Rhinolophus ferrumequinum: one gene and its partner. The protein of the gene in region 2 binds, or shares a complex with, the protein of the main gene of each other region. Links are inferred from orthologs where the notes say so. Each region holds a gene or a part of one and is shown on either strand. Other genes may lie near its edges.

Evidence for each region.
Region 1: the proteins of NFKBIA (region 2) and NFKB1 are in contact, whole or in part, in a crystal structure (PDB 1NFI), measured with the Homo sapiens proteins. The link is inferred for Rhinolophus ferrumequinum from reciprocal best matches to the Homo sapiens genes NFKBIA and NFKB1. Residues at the interface, in NP_065390.1 of Homo sapiens: Asn108, Asn109, Leu110, Gln111, Arg140, Tyr181, Pro214, Cys215, Asn216, Arg218, Tyr248, Gln249; in NP_001158884.1 of Homo sapiens: Lys251, Ile252, Val253, Arg254, Met255, Asp256, Arg257, Thr258, Ala259, Pro326, Lys345, Leu348, Tyr350, Ile353.

What each region holds. Positions count from the first base shown.
Region 1 is NC_046288.1:53,442,152-53,450,237, reverse strand, and holds the start of NFKB1 (nuclear factor NF-kappa-B p105 subunit), read right to left. Parts: upstream 3,148-8,086; 5' UTR 3,008-3,147; intron 1-3,007.
Region 2 is NC_046289.1:83,503,213-83,510,994, forward strand, and holds NFKBIA (NF-kappa-B inhibitor alpha), read right to left. Parts: upstream 3,214-7,782; 5' UTR 3,090-3,213; coding exon 2,863-3,089; intron 2,282-2,862; coding exon 2,173-2,281; intron 1,844-2,172; coding exon 1,633-1,843; intron 1,349-1,632; coding exon 1,260-1,348; intron 1,132-1,259; coding exon 871-1,131; intron 546-870; coding exon 498-545; 3' UTR 406-497; downstream 1-405. UniProt on the Homo sapiens protein: Inhibits the activity of dimeric NF-kappa-B/REL complexes by trapping REL (RELA/p65 and NFKB1/p50) dimers in the cytoplasm by masking their nuclear localization signals.

The DNA of each region.
Region 1 (8,086 bases), on a different chromosome or scaffold from region 2:
AATGCCTCTAGTTCTTCAAACCTCAAGGTCAACTAAGGAGTGACAGGGTCAACTCAAGGAGGTATATATGCTTCTGCAGATTTATCTGCTCAACTCTAAAAATACTATACTGAGTTCAGTACTTATGAGAGGTACAAGTGTGCAAAGAGAGTTAATTCCCAGAAAGCAGGGTAAACTGCTTCAATGTGGTTTACTGGTTACCAAGAAAGCGTTTGTCAATGAACTCATATCATACATAAACGTAGATGTAGAAACAGAACATTTGAAAGTGTCCTCCAGCACTAAAATTCTATCCTTCCTTCTTCTTCTCCTTCTCTTCTTACAGCATATAGCAATCATGCCACCTTTTATGAGTCATATAAACAGAAAACCAATCAAGCAAACAAGGCAACTTTCCTTCTAAGTAAGGTAAATTCATAAGAAATTTTGCTTAGCCATTGATTCTTATGTATCCATTCCTGCTAATGTGATTCATGTTCAATTTGTAGACTAGAAGAGCATAATTTGAATAGTTACTCTATTGGTTAAACAGCTCTGCATTTCCAGACACACTTTCTACTGCAGTCATCTCTATGTTCAGAACAGGACACCTACTAATAAGTTCTGAAGAAGAAAAAGATCATATTTTGACTATCAAAAATCCATATGGAAACTCAGATATCATTTTTTAAAATGTATTGTTTTAAAATGTCAACTATTGTTCTTTCTTCTCCTAAGTTCAAACTAATTGAAGGTTATGAAGTAACCACTTCCCCTCAGAAGCCAGAACTTTCACCTCTTGTGAACAGGGGAATACTGGGTAGAAAATGAGGCCCTGCTGATTGAATGAGAGTCCCAGATTCCTATAGCCTCCAATTCCTTATCTAGACCTTCTATCTACCACAATAAGCAGTACCTGAAAATCAGGTACTACTAAAACTTATTTCATCAATTATCTGGAAGTATGAAAGCAGTGGTAAAAACAACCTGCATATGTATTTGTTTCTCAAACTAGCTTCAAATTGTTTCAAGGAACATGACAAGAGAAATACGTCTCTGAGGAATACAATCACTAAATCTAAAATTCTGCCTATTTCTGACTAATTGAGCTTTTACCAACTGCAACTCAGTCATCACAGACAATTTTGTTTTAAGAGGTAGAAGAAGGAAGTGCAAAGATCAAAGCAGAGCTTAAGAAGGGGAACAACTATTTTTGTATGTATACTCCAGTATTTACTAACTGGGTTTGAAAAATAGAGGCATTTATTCAGCTGATGTGAATGCCAACTGCCGAACATAAGACAAAATTGAAATTACTAAACAAAAATAATAGACTTTCCAATTGCCCCCAACCCCAACTGGATTATAGTATTTCCCTTAAAAAGTCTTCTCAACAATTTAGAAGTGGTTTACTCTTCACAATAAGCAGTATTTCGGTGCCAGCATTAAATCTACACATAATGAGTCTTCCTTTGTGTTCACGTTTGTCCAGTAGGCTGTGGCCCAGGAAGACATTTTATCTAAACGAGCTCCAGGAGGCATTGAGGAGCTGCAGGTATATCAATATGGATAAACAATTTCAGGAGATTTCATGTTTACATTTACCATGTATGTTCTTCTCACTGTAGCAATTTAATTACGTGATCAATGTAAAAGGCTACAAGAAACAAGTCTTTTTATTTCCTGGCTTCCCAAGTTCATAAGCTCAAAAAAATACTTTGCTTTAAATCATTTCCAAAATTCTTTAGTGCATGAAATAGTAAAAGAATTCATTTCTAGAAAGCACAATATTAAAATCAGGAAAACAACATGATTCAGCCAAGGGCTTTATTTTAATCAAGATTCCTTTTTAAAGTTTTAACAAACGCTAATGCAATTCAAAGTGCTCAAGAATACTCAATTGAGGTATTGCTAGAAAAATAAGCACTGAACATCTTGATCTCAAACTTTAGGGTTTCCAAAGCTCATCAGTTTGTAGAACATTTGTATGCCAGGGCTGTTGAGTGTTTTAGTAATACTGTAGTCATTTTCTCAGATTATGGGCTTTATGACAAAATCTGTAAGTTAAATATAGTTATTTAATAAGCTGCAGTGCTGAAAAACCCTACTTAACAAATCCATGAAAATGTCTTAAATCTTGATAATCAGATACTGTGTCATTAAGTCCCATTTAAGTTTCAGAATAGGCCAATAAATCAGGGCAAACACCTCCATCAGTATTTATTTATTTTTAAAGACCATGAGAAAACTTGGATCTAGGCTAGGCTTTGTTTATAGCATTTTTTTGTTTTAGAGGTCATGCACAACACATGGTACCGTTTTCCAAGTGTTTCATAATCAGAGTGTCCAAAAAGTGATCTAAATAGGTAATTTCTTTTCTCTCTCAAATGCCAGGCCCTGGAGATCAGTCTCAGGCCCTCGTTTTTTTTTTGAAAACCAATGTCCAGATCCTATAGTAGGTGAATATATTATGTCCTGGTGCGTGTGTGTGTGTGTGAAGTGGGGGCTTCTTTTTTGAAGGAATAAGGCTGTCCTATTCAATTTGGGGGAGCTGGGGAGGGCTTCCCCAGCCGAGAGGACTGCCATGCACTTCTGCTTTCATTTCATGGAACGCCCTTAGGTGAAATCTGGTTCAGCACTGCACCAACCACCTTCCCCTCTTTCCTTCGCGCCCAAGCGCACCTCAACCTTAAAGCCACCCCGCAGCAGGGAGTGGGGGTGAGGATTAAAAAAAGTTTGCCAGAGTTCCCCTCTGGTTCCGTTCCCGCCTGGCGGAAGGACGGGAAGAGAAAGGGCAGCCCGGGCAGCCGTGGCCCTCGGGCCGACTGGCCCCCGCCAAGTCCGGATGTGCCTTTCCCCCCTCTCGCCAATCTCTTAACTCCTGTCAACCTCCTCCTAGGGTCCAGGGTAGCGGCTATCGCAGGAATGAGGAAGTCCTAGCAGGGCTGGAGGGGTGCGGGGCGGGTAGGTGGCGGGACTCGGGCCGCAAGTCCCCGGCGTGGCCCCCACTTGCCCGAGTTTGGCTTACCGTGGTGGCGGGTCCGCGCTCGGCCTCCCGGCGCCTGCGGGCTCCCCCTCCGGGGCGGCGCGGGCCTCGGGGCCGCGTTAGGAGGAGGCGGAGGCCGGCCGGGGCCAAAGCACGTCCGAGTGCGGGTCTGATCGGGTCCGGACGAGAGGGCGCGCGGTCTCGCCGGGCCGGGCCAGTCAGCGCCGCGCCATGTCGCAGCGCGGGCGGAGGGAAGCGCGGGGCGCGCGGTGGCCGGGCCGCGGCGGCGCCGCCTTCCCGGCCGCGGCGGCTCTGGCCTGGGCTGCGCGGGGTCTCGGAGAGGGGCCGGCGGCGGGGCGCAGGCCGAGGGCGGCGGCGTTGAGGAGAGGCCCGACGGACGGGCAGGGCAGGGGAAGCTGTCAGCGCGTCGCCGGGCCGCTCCGGTGGCGAAACCTCCTCTTCCTGCCCCGGCTCGCTGGTGCACTTCTCTGTCTCTCTGTCTTGCTCACTCTCTCACTTCCTGGCTGGAAATTCCCACTGACGTCGAGCGAGAAGACAGACAGACGGACACACGCGCGCACGCCGCGGGGGCGGGAGGTGGGGTCGCCACCGGGGGTGGGGGAAGCCCGCACTTCTGGGGCCGCTGTGCGCCCCCGGTTCGGCCCCGCAGCCCCGCTCGGCTCCCGCCCCTCGGGGCCGCTTCGGGGCGGAGAACGAGGCGCGCGGTCCGAGGCCCGGACGCCGGAGTCCCCTGCGGAGCTCCTGCTCCCGGGCCGGCGCTCCCGGAGCCCCGAGGGCTGGAGCGGCCAGGGACGCCCCCTGAAGCGCCACCGGGGCCCGATTGCCCCGGGAAGCAGGCGGCACGGAGGCGGTGGCGTAGGGCTGGCTGTTGGATTCGGGAGGTCCAGAGCCCCTAAGGACAGGCCCAAGCACCTGGAGAGGATGATGAGTCGGCGTGGAGCTAAGCATGCCTTGTATAAAAATAAATCTCATCTGTCTGTTCCCTTTAAATTGTCTCAGTTACACCCAAATCTTTTCACAAATTAAAGTGGAATTTCTATGATATAACCGACTTCTGTCCAGCGCAGTCTGAGCATCTGAGTTTCGGTAACTTGGTTGGGACTTATTCTGAACTCCCATCTACAGGGCATTATGATAATTACGGTGGATAGAATTATAGTGATGGTGGTAGCAGTGGTTTTGGTCCACAGCTCATAAAGAAATATTGATCCAACAGAAGGGAGTTTTTCTTTTTCTTTTTCTTTTTTTTCTGGAGAGACCGCTGCTGGAACGTCCAGCAGGCATCCCACCATTCACTAGATCTGAGCTTCTTTACTTTCCAGGCATTGCGCTAGACACGGGCTGGGGATACCCTGGGGTAGTTTAGCTCCCTCAATGAGAAACTTTGAGTGGATATTTTAGAGTTCATTATCTCACCACTGTGACAACTGCATATTTTAAAACATAGGTCATCAAGCCATCACCAGGCAGTGTTGCTATGACATTGGATTGCCCCTAGCAAGTTGGCCATGTTCCCTTTAGTCGTCCTCCTCGCCCTTGCCCCAACCTCCCCAAGGTTATAAGAATCTTCTTGGTGGAGTGTTTGGCGGAGAAGTAGAGATCCGTTTGATTGGGTCCGGGGTGAGTCTCTGCAATGACCTTGGGGACCAACCAACAATCTACGTTCAAGGGATTTCGTTTAACTCCCACAGGCTGTTTGAACAGCTGTAATTCAGGCGATTTATGAAGACTGAAGACTGTTTTACAAACACTGCGTTATTACGTATGGGACATTATTAGAAATTGCGCCAATACTGTATTTTAGATTAATATATCCTTTGTATATATTTTTTGGTCACTGACATGAGCATAAATAGTGCAAACTCCCATGAAACAACCAAGTATTAGAGGAGTGGTGGTGTTTTTTTCTTGTTTGTGGAGCAGGTGTGAACAGCCACACTCTTCATTCCAGGCATGGGGTTGAGGCGTTGAGGGGGTAGTGAATAGCCTGTTGCCGAAAGAATGGACAGACAGGGTTGGATTGTTGGAAGAATAGAGCCAGCGTGACATATTGGGAACAAGTAAAAGGTGTTAATTAGTGAAAAACATTAAATTAAATTTCAAACTCAAAATTATCCAATAGAGTGGACTTAAAATTGAGGGCTGGGTGTTAGGCAGGAGTATGTAGTTTCCTAGAGGTACCTTAACAAGTTACCACAAACTGGGTGGCTTACGACAATGGAAATTGATTCTCTCACAGTTCTAGAGGCCAGAAATCGGAAATCAGGGTGTCAGCAGACCCATGCTCCCTCTGAAGGCTCCAAGAAAGAATCGTTTCTTGACTCTTCCTAGCTTCTGGTAGCTCCCGGCTATCTTTGGTATTCCTTGGCTTTTAGCTGCGTAACTCCAATTTCTGCCTCTGTCCTCACATGGCCTTCTTGCCTGTGTCTCTGTATCCAAATCACCTTCTTCTCTCTCGTATTAAGACACCAGTTATTGGACCTAGAGCCCACCTCAATCCGGTATAGCCTCATTTTACCTTCATTAATCTGCAAAGACCCTATTTCCAAATAAGGTCATGCTCATATGTACCTAGGATAAGGCCTTGGACATATTTTTGAGGGGGACACAATCAAATACACTAAGCAGACAAAAGTATAAAAGCCCCCAGTCTACTCTTTTTGGCTTATCAGTTAACCTTTCTGCATTGCTGCTTTGTTTCCCAATACTTACTCTACACCTGCTTCCAGGAGTGTTTCTTACAAATTAGGTGTCAGAGGGCATTTGCCATTATCAGAGTATAATGAAAAAAAAAGCCTAAATGTGGAATTTTAGGCATCAAGTTTATAAAAGTTGTACTGTGTTTATCACTAAATCTTTGAAATCACATGAATTTCCTTTTTCAAACTGAGTATTATAAATGTCAGTGTCCAGAAGTTTGTTAGGTTGAGATCTATATAGTGTGTCCATTGACAATGAGAGATTATATAGTGTGTGAAGGGGATTCACAAATACAAAATTATACATCTGAGCCCTGCAAACTCAGACCCATCTTGTGGACAGGAGTGAACTATATTTCTGTAAAGGGTAGAACTTGCTTCAGGTCACGAAGGCACCTCAACATGCTTAGAAACACTCAGACCACAGCTGTTAGGTAAGATAAAATGGAAAGACTTGAGTAGACTTGAAATCAGACTTGAGTTGGAATCCTAGGTTTGCCTTGAATTATCTGTGTAATTTTTGCCAAGTACTGCTTTGTATGAGTTTCAGTTTCTTTGCCTGTACAATAATCATAACATTATAGTTCATATGATGAGCTCTAGAATAGCTTTACATAACATTTTATGTATGTTGTATTGCTATGATCTGAATATTTGCATTCCCCCAAAATTCATATGTTGAATTCCTAACCCCTAAGGTGATGGTATTAGGAGGCAGGGCACTTGGGAGGTGATTAGGTCATGAGGGCAGAACCCTCAGGATTTGGATAAGTGCCCTTATGAAAAAGACCCAAGAGAGCCAGCTGCTCCCTACCATCGTATGACGATATAATTAAAAGTCTGTGACTTGGAAGAGAGCCCTTACCCAACGATGATGGCACCCTGATCTTGAACTATGAGAAGTAAATTTCTATTTATAAACCACAGGGTCTGGTATTTCGTTATAGCAACACAAGTTAGTAGATTAACACATGTATGTATACATACATAAGTAACAACTTATATGTTGCATTATGCATATATGTTACATTATTACAATCCTGCCTCACAGAGGTCTAGAAACAAATAGGAGATAAAGAATGTAAAAGGTTTTACAAACATAAAGTTAGTCTAAGAAAAAAGACTTGAAATTAATTTCCTTGTGGGCTTAAGGGACTTCTATGCTTGCACTGTTGACTACTGGGGCACACAATAGTGGCATCTCTCCTTGTTGATAGTGGAGTATTTCATTACACCTCCATTTAAAAGGCTTGCCATATTCTGTCTTGTGCTTGCAGTTACAGGTCTTATTGACGGAGCACTCAATTAGCCTGTATAAGTGGTTACAAAAGAAAAAGAAGATGTAATCTCTGCTCGCAATATAAAGCCAGGAAGAATGACCTCATATAATAGCCAGGACAAAAGTGATTTGTGTAATGGGTCATATCACCAAGAGTAAAATCAACAGAAGAGGGCGTAGAGATCATCTTCCTCTCGAGATTATATGCAGAATCCAGAGTTTTATTCCGTTGGCAATGCAGACACACTGAAATGAGACAATAAATTTACAAGAAGAATGTCACTGGTCTTAAGGATACTAGCATCTTTTCTATCAATTCAAATGAATATTTACGCACTATCATCACTGCCTTCAAAGAGTTCACAAAACACAAAAGAGTGCGTGTAATTATAGTATGAGGCAGAGTACAGTAAATGCCTTCATGGAGGTTTAAGCAAATGCTTAGGCATAGGTAGGGAGAGAGACCACAGTGCTTGCATTGTGCCTGGTGGTTAAGCTCTCGGACTGAGGAAAACAGGTGCTACCTTCAGATTGGAAGCCAGTGCCTGACTGTGCCCTTCACAGAAAATAATTCACTCCTGTTCTGCCCTGAGTAGTTATGTGACCCTGGACAAGGTGCATAACTGTTCCGGCCTTCTTTTTCTCATCTGTAAGATAGGATGATAGTTATGCCCGCCTTGTAGTGCTATTGTAAGGGTCTAAAGAGATCATGCACATGAAGTGCAGACCAAAGTGCCACATGCTCAGGAAACTCGCATTTATATTGGTTATTATTATGAATACTGTTGTTTCTTTCAGGAAAACTTGATGAAGAAGATAGCATGTAGTGGATGTTGGAATGGTAGGTATGATACAATAGCAAAATGATCAGAAGAAAGAAGACAGACAGATGAGGGGGAGTGAGACTTACAAGGTCTGAGTTTATAACATTGTAACAAAAAGACTTAAGTGGAATTGTACCTTGAAATAATTAATGTAAAAAGAAATCTAGATTTTTTTTTCCCCAGGCACCCACCAGTCAAAAATTGTTTTGTCTAATAGCACATCTCTAAAGTATATTCATAACACTTAAAATTTGTTCCATAAATAATAAAGAAATGTTCAAAAAGACTAATTGATTTT
Region 2 (7,782 bases):
TAATAAATATACATCTTTAAAGTAGCAAAATAATTACCAACAAAATACACTGTGTACACCATTTACAGGAGGGTAACACAAACCTGGACAGGTAGTGACTTTTAACCTCATACCACTGAAAGGTTTAACAATACCTCATTGCTACATGTCACAGGATACAACTGGGCTTAGCCACTGAATCCATGGTGGTTCAATCAAAAAGCACAATAAATAAAATGTAGTCCTTTCATCAAATTTTGGATCACCTTCTCTAAAAACCCCGCAATGGTGAGGTTTACAAAGAGGTTTTCTTTGAATTCCAATGCTCTTTCTTGTCCCCCTTCCAAAGTTCACAAAAAAGAGGGCTGATCCACCCCAGTAAAACGTCTCAGGCCAGGCAGTGTGGTTGTAAGTACACCCTTTTGATTTTTTTTTTCTTTTCTTTTTTTCTTAGAAAAATAAAACTCTCTTTTTGTACAAATATACAAGTCCATGTTCTTTCAGATACTTTCCAAAGCTCATAATTTCAGGCGCTGGCCTCCAAACACACAGTCATCATATGGCAGCTAAAAACAAGAGGAAAAAAGCATGTTAAACTTCCAAAACTTTTGCTAGGGGTGCTGGGATAATGGTGAGGGCATAATACTAGAAATAACCCAAGTATTTGTGGACTCCATTCTCTATAACCCAAATAGAAATTAACTTCATGGACTGAGGTAGTTTTCCTTTAATGCTCTTCTTTAAAAAAGGCAAAAAGACACACACTTGGGATATACTAAAGTTTGAGAACTTCATTATGTTGAGACCTTTGGGTAAAGAGTAGCTCTAGGGGCCTGGGAGGGTGGAGAATGACCATCTCACTCCTTTTTGTAGAATGAACTTGAGACTCACCTCGTCCTCTGTGAACTCTGACTCGGTGTCGTAACTCTCTTCATCTTCACTCTCTGGCAGCATCTGAAGGTTTTCTAGGGTCAGCTGGCCCAGCTGCTGTTGTATCCGGGTGCTTGGGCGACCCCAGGTGAGTTGATATGGGGAGTAGCCCTGGTAGGTGACTCTATTGACATCAGCCCCACACTTCAACAAGAGCGACACCAGGTCGGGGTTCTGTAAGTCCACCGCGAGATGAAGGGCAGTTCGGCCATTACACGGCTCCTGAAACCGAAAGGAATTTGAGATGCTTTAGGCTGAATTTGGAATTTTGGCTTGTAATGAGGGCACGTGAAGTCTGTGAGGAGGGCGCTGAGCGTGCTGCCCTCCACCTGGAGGCATGAGGCACTCACCTGAGCATTGACATCAGCACCCAAGGACACCAAAAGCTCCACGATGCCCAGGTAGCCATGGATAGAAGCTAAGTGCAGACACGTGTGGCCTAGAAGAACAAAAGGAAAAAAGTATAACCACTTGTTTCAATCCTCACATCTGAAACAAAACCTTTCACCTATTCTTTTAAGGGACAAATTCTTCTGAATATGAACAACCCAGGATCTGAGATCTGAATGAACTTTATAAAGGCATCAAATAGGCCTTTTACACACACGTTTGCTCAACCCATCACACGCTGATAGTTTAAGCTCTTGCCTGGACTCTCTAAGTTGGCCCACCTCTCCCTTCCCGTGTCACCTGCCCTCTGATGGGCAGGGCAGGCAGACGTACCATTGTAGTTGGTGGCCTGCAGGATAGAGTGGAGGTGCTGGGTCCCACAGCTCTGAGTCAGGACTCCCACACTGGCCAGGCAGCCCTGCTCACAGGCAAGGTGTAGGGGGGTATTTCCTCGAAAGTCTCGGAGCTCAGGATCACAGCCAGCTTCCAGAAGTGCCTCAGCAATTTCTGGCTGGTTAGTAATCACAGCCAAGTGGAGTGGAGTCTACAAACAGAAGAGGGAACAGAAAGAGGATTAAGCCACGGACCAAACCCACAGTCTGAGTTCCCTTGAACCCCCCTAGATCCCTAGTTTGCGGGGGGTTGCTGCTCCCAGACAGGTGCAAGGGACAAAGCAAATACCAAAGGCCCCAGGTGGGCTTCATAAAGGCCACAGCAAATTAATGGGATGTTCTTTACTTTCTAGAATGCTGGCTGATTCGGATGTAAAAAGTCAGAGCGGATAATGACCACGACTATGAATTTATAAAGCATTGGGAGCAACTGTGCTAGACCACGGGGTCAGAGAGGCCCGGGGCTGGGCAAGAGGCGCACCTGCTGCAGGTTGTTCTGGAAGTTAAGAAAGGCCAGGTCTCCCTTCACTTGGCGGACCACTTCCAGAGTCAGTGCCTTCTCCTCGTGGATAATGGCTAAGTGCAGGAACCTGAGAGGAAAAGAAGGGAAAAACCCCCAGGGCTGGTGAGTACAATGCGTGGGGCCCAGGGAGGCGCGGGCTGCGGGGGATTGCGCAAGGCCGGGGTTTCTGAAGGCCGAGGCCGCGGTGTTTTCCGCGAGGTTATTATGAGCTGAGTGTTCCTGGCAGGCGCCCAGGGACTTTCCGGGCCCCCCCCCCCCCCCCCGCTCCCGGGCGGGCGCCGACCAGACCGCCCCGCCCTCCCGCCGGGCCGGAACGCCCTGTACTTCCCCTCGCTGCGGCACGGCGCCCGCCCGTCGGGCAGAAACTCCCCCCTCCCCCCTTCTGCAAGCGGGGACTTCGCGTCCCCGCCGCCCCGCCCCCGGCCGAGAGGACCGGGACCGGGCAGGGGAGTGTGAACGGCTGCAAGGCCGAGCTGCGGAACCGCGGCCCCGGGAACGAACCCTGATCCTCTGCCCTCATGCAGCTTTACCCGGCCTCGGGGTCGGTGCATAAACCCCGATCCACCGCCGCATCGCGCGGGCCCCGAGGCTCGCGCTGCAGGCCCGGCGCCCCCACCCGGCCCCGTCACCCAGGCCTGCGACACTTACGAGTCTCCGTCCTCCGTGAGCTGCTGCTTCCAGGGCTCCGCGCTGCGCGGCGCCTCCTGCGGCTCCAGGCGGATCTCCCGCAGCTCCTTCACCATCTGCTCATAGTCCTCGTCCTTCATGGAGTCCAGGCCGCTGTCGTGGCGGTCGTCCAGCAGCCGCTCCTTCTTGAGCGCGTCCCGGGGGCCCTCCATGGCCCAGTCCTGGGCGTGCTCGGCGGGGTGAAACATGGCGCAGTGACTGCTCAGGCGCTGCTCCCCAGGTGCGCTCGGCTGCGGGCTGCGCGCTCCCTTCTTCGCAGTGTCGCAGGCGGGTTAGGACTGTTGTGGGCTCGGCAGCGCCGCCGCGGCGCCCTATAAACGCTGGCAGGGGATTTCTCCGGGGCGGGGTCAGGCGCGGGGAATTTCCAAGCCAGTCAGACCAGAAAAGAGAACTGGCCTCGTTCTACGGCGGAGGGAAAGCAATCTAAACCCTAAGCAGGGTTCATCAGAGAAACTCCCAGCGATGAGCCACTGGGGTCATGCACAGGGAACTTTTTGATGAACGCTGAGTGGCTGGAAAGTCCTCCCGACAAGGCCCCCTCCCGGTACTTCCCTGCAGCCTGCACTCAGTAATCTTGTCCCTCTGCAAGAAACCTTCTTTCCCTGGGGTTTCCCACGATCGATTGGATTTGGGGTCCTCGGCTGCAGAGATCCCAAAGATGCAGACTTGCTGGGCGGTTCCTCGTTGGGGTTTGCCAACCTGCCGGTCTTTTCCGTTTTTTTGATCTATTGGAAACGCGAGTGGAAATGATGGCTGGGTGTAGGGATTCGTTTCCTCAAACTTCTGTCTGCAGGGAAGAACGCACTGGCGGGGAGAAGGGATGCCTCTGCGTGCCTGCTGACCCCAGGCTGTTTGCAGTGCAGGGACACGTAGCACTCCCCCAGCCCCCTCAGGTAGAAGGTGTGCAAGTTTTGGCGTTAAAAACCTAAATGCTTGGAGAGCCCTCAACTAGTTTCCTCGGGACTAAAAATCCTGGTGACTGGGGAGGGGTAAGCACTCTGCCCTCTCTCCCCTGTATGTGAGAAAATGCTGAACAGGAACTTTTTTTTAAAAGTAGGGCAAGGTAGTAGAGGTTGTAGATGCTTGACAATAACGAAATAATTATTGAGGTGGTTGTGCTCCCTGAATTGCACTGTGGTGCTGCAGAGAATGGATCCTGAGCCTACTTCGGGGTGCCACGCTGGGCAACTTTCCAGAGGCATTTGGAGAAGGACGCTGAAGAATGGGTTGAGTGGTGACTTACTACCTAACATTGGGCCTTAAGTGATGGCTAAGAAAGTAGCTGCTAGGCATACTGCAGGAAGCTCAAGGGGTGCCAACTAGTCCCCATCCTGCCCCTCCTGGTTCCTTGCTCTCCTGTCCTGGGGGAGGGCAGCGGTTGGACTTACCATGCATGCAATGTGGGTAGGCACTCCAGGCTCACTATCCTCTGTTTTCAACTACAGAAATAGAATGTATACTCTCCTCTGCACCCTCACCTCCTAGCCAACAATCCAGTGAAGTTAATTGATTGACCCTTAGCATTGGTCCCGGCAAAACAAAGCAACTTTGGTCCCAATTCTTCACAATTAGTTCCAAGAGGTCTCTCATAGTTTTGCAGATTTCTGAGGGTTGTTGCAATCATCTTTAACTTGCCGGGCCATGTACTTACCAAGCTTGATCCTCTCTGAATCTCCCTCTCCTCAGCCCTCACCCCCATATCTGAATGTAGGGAATCTGGGTCAGTGAGGGTGACAGACAAAATATGGGGGGGGGGAGTAAAATCAAGAAATAAAACCTTCATGGTAGTAATGATCACATGCTAAAATGAAAACTTCCCAGGGATACACTCTGCTGTCTCTGTAGGCATGTGATACACAACTACACAAGTTTTCAGGCAAGGTGGAACAGTGACTATAAGTAGAAGATCTCAATTCCAGGCTCTATCTCTAATTAAGTGCATCTTAATTGGAGGTATCAATTAACTTTGCTGTAGTATACCTGCTTGGATTTAATGCTTTTTGGGTTTTTTTTTCCCCCAGCTTAAAAATTGTATTAGTTGGCCACACATGCATGTATAAACCCCTGCTTAAGAGTGATCGTGTCTCTTGGAAATTCACAGTATATATTTTTGGAAGGACTCCAGCACCTTATGCAACACATTGTTCTCAGAACTAATCTTGTAAGATAGGTAATATTCCTACTTTCCTAAAAATAAACTGAAATGCAGAGAAATTTACCTAGGTACCCCATGGCAGTTAATCTAATTTCTGTCCCAACATATTAATCATTTGGCCAAAGCTGTTGTGGTAGGTATTAACACTTTTGAAGACACATTTTGAAAATGAGACCGAATATGTTATAATTTGGAAGATACTCAAAGTATTTTCTGCTCCAATTGTTGGATAAAATAGAGGGTAGATGTTTCCCTATCGGGGGTATTCATGTCTGTAAGAAAAAAAGTACAGAAAAGTCGAACTTGAGATGCCCCACTAATAAAAGGGTACCATAGGAGAGAATTTTTAGCTGCAGGTTTCAAATGATTATTAAAAAAGAAAATCATAAAAAGAAAGAAAAAATCATGCATAAGTAAAAGTATCTAGGGAGTAAGTTTCTTTGTACCTCTTTTAATGACTTTATGTTCTTGATGGCCTTAAGGACCTAGTCGTCTTTATTCCCAATTGTTTAGTGTGATTCCTGGTGGTAAGAGTCAGGCGCAGGTGTTCTCTGATTTGTCTCAGAGGTTTTGGGAATTTGGCGAGGTGCCAAGCCTTGGTGACCTGTCCCTATGGTGGGGATTCCCAAGGAGGTACCTTTTGTTTTTCTGCAACCTGGGAGACAGTTTTGAATAATGTGATCCAACAGGTTTTCTCTCTATCATCTATAGCTCTCTACATTGAAATCAACAAATATTACAACTTGGGCAATAAAGAACACACTTGGAAATCAGAAAACATGAGCAGAAGGGCCAGAAAAAGACAGCAAAACTTTGATTTCTGGTTTAGAAAGACCTTTATGGACTCCTGGGCACTTAGGGTTCTCCCCACCTCATTGTCACACATTTTAGCTCATCTTGACCATTTTGAAGATGTTAAACCTTAGGTAACTAATTTTTAAATGTCATTTGGCTTTTTTATTTTGAATGCAGAAGAAGGCAAACGAATGAATCTGTTAACCCCGAAGCTGCTTTATAGTTTAGTGCAGAATGCAGCCATAGAGAAGGAGAGGATGGCCAGGGGTGCTCAGGGGCTTCACTGTGGGCAGGCGCACCCCTCTGGGAAAAGGAGCACCAGTGTGTGACTTCATTTATTCTTCCTGGGTGGGAAATGCACAATGTGGACTGAACCTACGGCCTGAAGTGCCCAATGGCCTGGCAATGTGGAGATGCTTCTCTAAGTTCAGCCAAGTGGACCAACATATTTGGCTTTTCCTAATATCCTGGGCAGCGTGTCCTGTGCCAGTTGCCCTAGCCAATTGAAATTGTTTTAGCCCCAGCATATAGAACTGCAAAAGGCTACCCATCACTCAGTGCAGCCAGGCTGGGAGAGAGAGGAGCGCGACAGAGTCCTGAAGGCCAAGTGAGTCCGACACACTGCTGATGGACCGCGCTGCTGCGAAATTCTGAATTTATATTCTGCTTCCAATCCCAGGCTCAGTCTTCTTTCCACCTCTAGTGGTTAGCAACCACCTGCATCCATCCTCCTCAGAATCTGAGCTCCCAAGCTCTGAATTTCCCCACAGAAAAACAGCTGTCAGGACCTTTATTCATAGTGACCTGCAAATAAGACGGTCAATGCGTTTATGTGTATCTTTTGCTACAAATTCTGCGTTTTGATGGGGATCAAAGTGTTAAAGGGTATCGAACTCAAATACTTACCTTATAGGGGCCAGATAGGTTTCACAGAGGAGTGAAGGTGGCCGTGTGAGTCCAAGAGGGAATGGTGGCATCTTCAGCAGTTGGCCTGACAGCATGTCCACAGCTCAGGCAATGTTTGCCAAACAGCACTTTGCATTCAGTACTGATGTTAAGAAAAAAAAAAATCAAAACATGGATTTTGATGTGACCATTTTCAAGTTTTAAAATATTGTGAAAACCAAATAAAATGCATTTCTGCAACTTTTGGCAACATGGAGCCCACAGGCCCTGATCTTACAACCTGTTTCTCAGCCAGGGTATGATGTTTTCATGGTGCTTTGGGAGAAGGCACTCACCTTCAGCTCCCGTGGTGTCAGGGGGTCTCTGCTCCTCCGTGTAAATGGAGGCTGGGGTGGAGTGTGTCCATCTAGGAAGTGTGGTCTGCCCTGGCAGGCAGGGTTGGAATCAGAGGCTCTAAGCCCTGAAGAAAACTTGATCCCTCCCTCAAAGAACTGTTCAACACTACACTGTAAAATTAGTATAACAAGTTCAACCAAGTTCTGGTTTTTCTCACAATAAACATCTTTTTGGGGTGTTCCTGCTCTGCTCGTACCCCAACCTTGTGCCCAGCTTGTCTGTTGGGTAACCTGCCGTCAGGGAAGGAGGAGGCCTGCATGTGTCATCCCTGCACGTGTCAGCCCCCAGCCAGAATTCCTGGCTCTCCCTTTTCACTGTTTGTAGGCAGTAACCAAGGAGTACCTACCTGTAGGGGTGTAGGTTGTTCGCGTTCTGTTGTGTTTGTGGAGAAGTAGTTGGATCAGGAAGAGAAGTAGGCTTAACAGCACATTGCTTCCTCTTGATGCTAGTGTATGTGCTCTTTTGTCTTGGGTGTAAATTCATCCTGAGTTTAGTCAGGGCGTGAGGGGACTTAGCACTAGGGCCGTTCCACACAAAAGACTGGTACTCAGCTAGATATGGTACATAAATGAGACGAGGTGCCTGATCTTGGCACCATAATCAGGTGAGGAGCTCGTGATCCTTTTTGG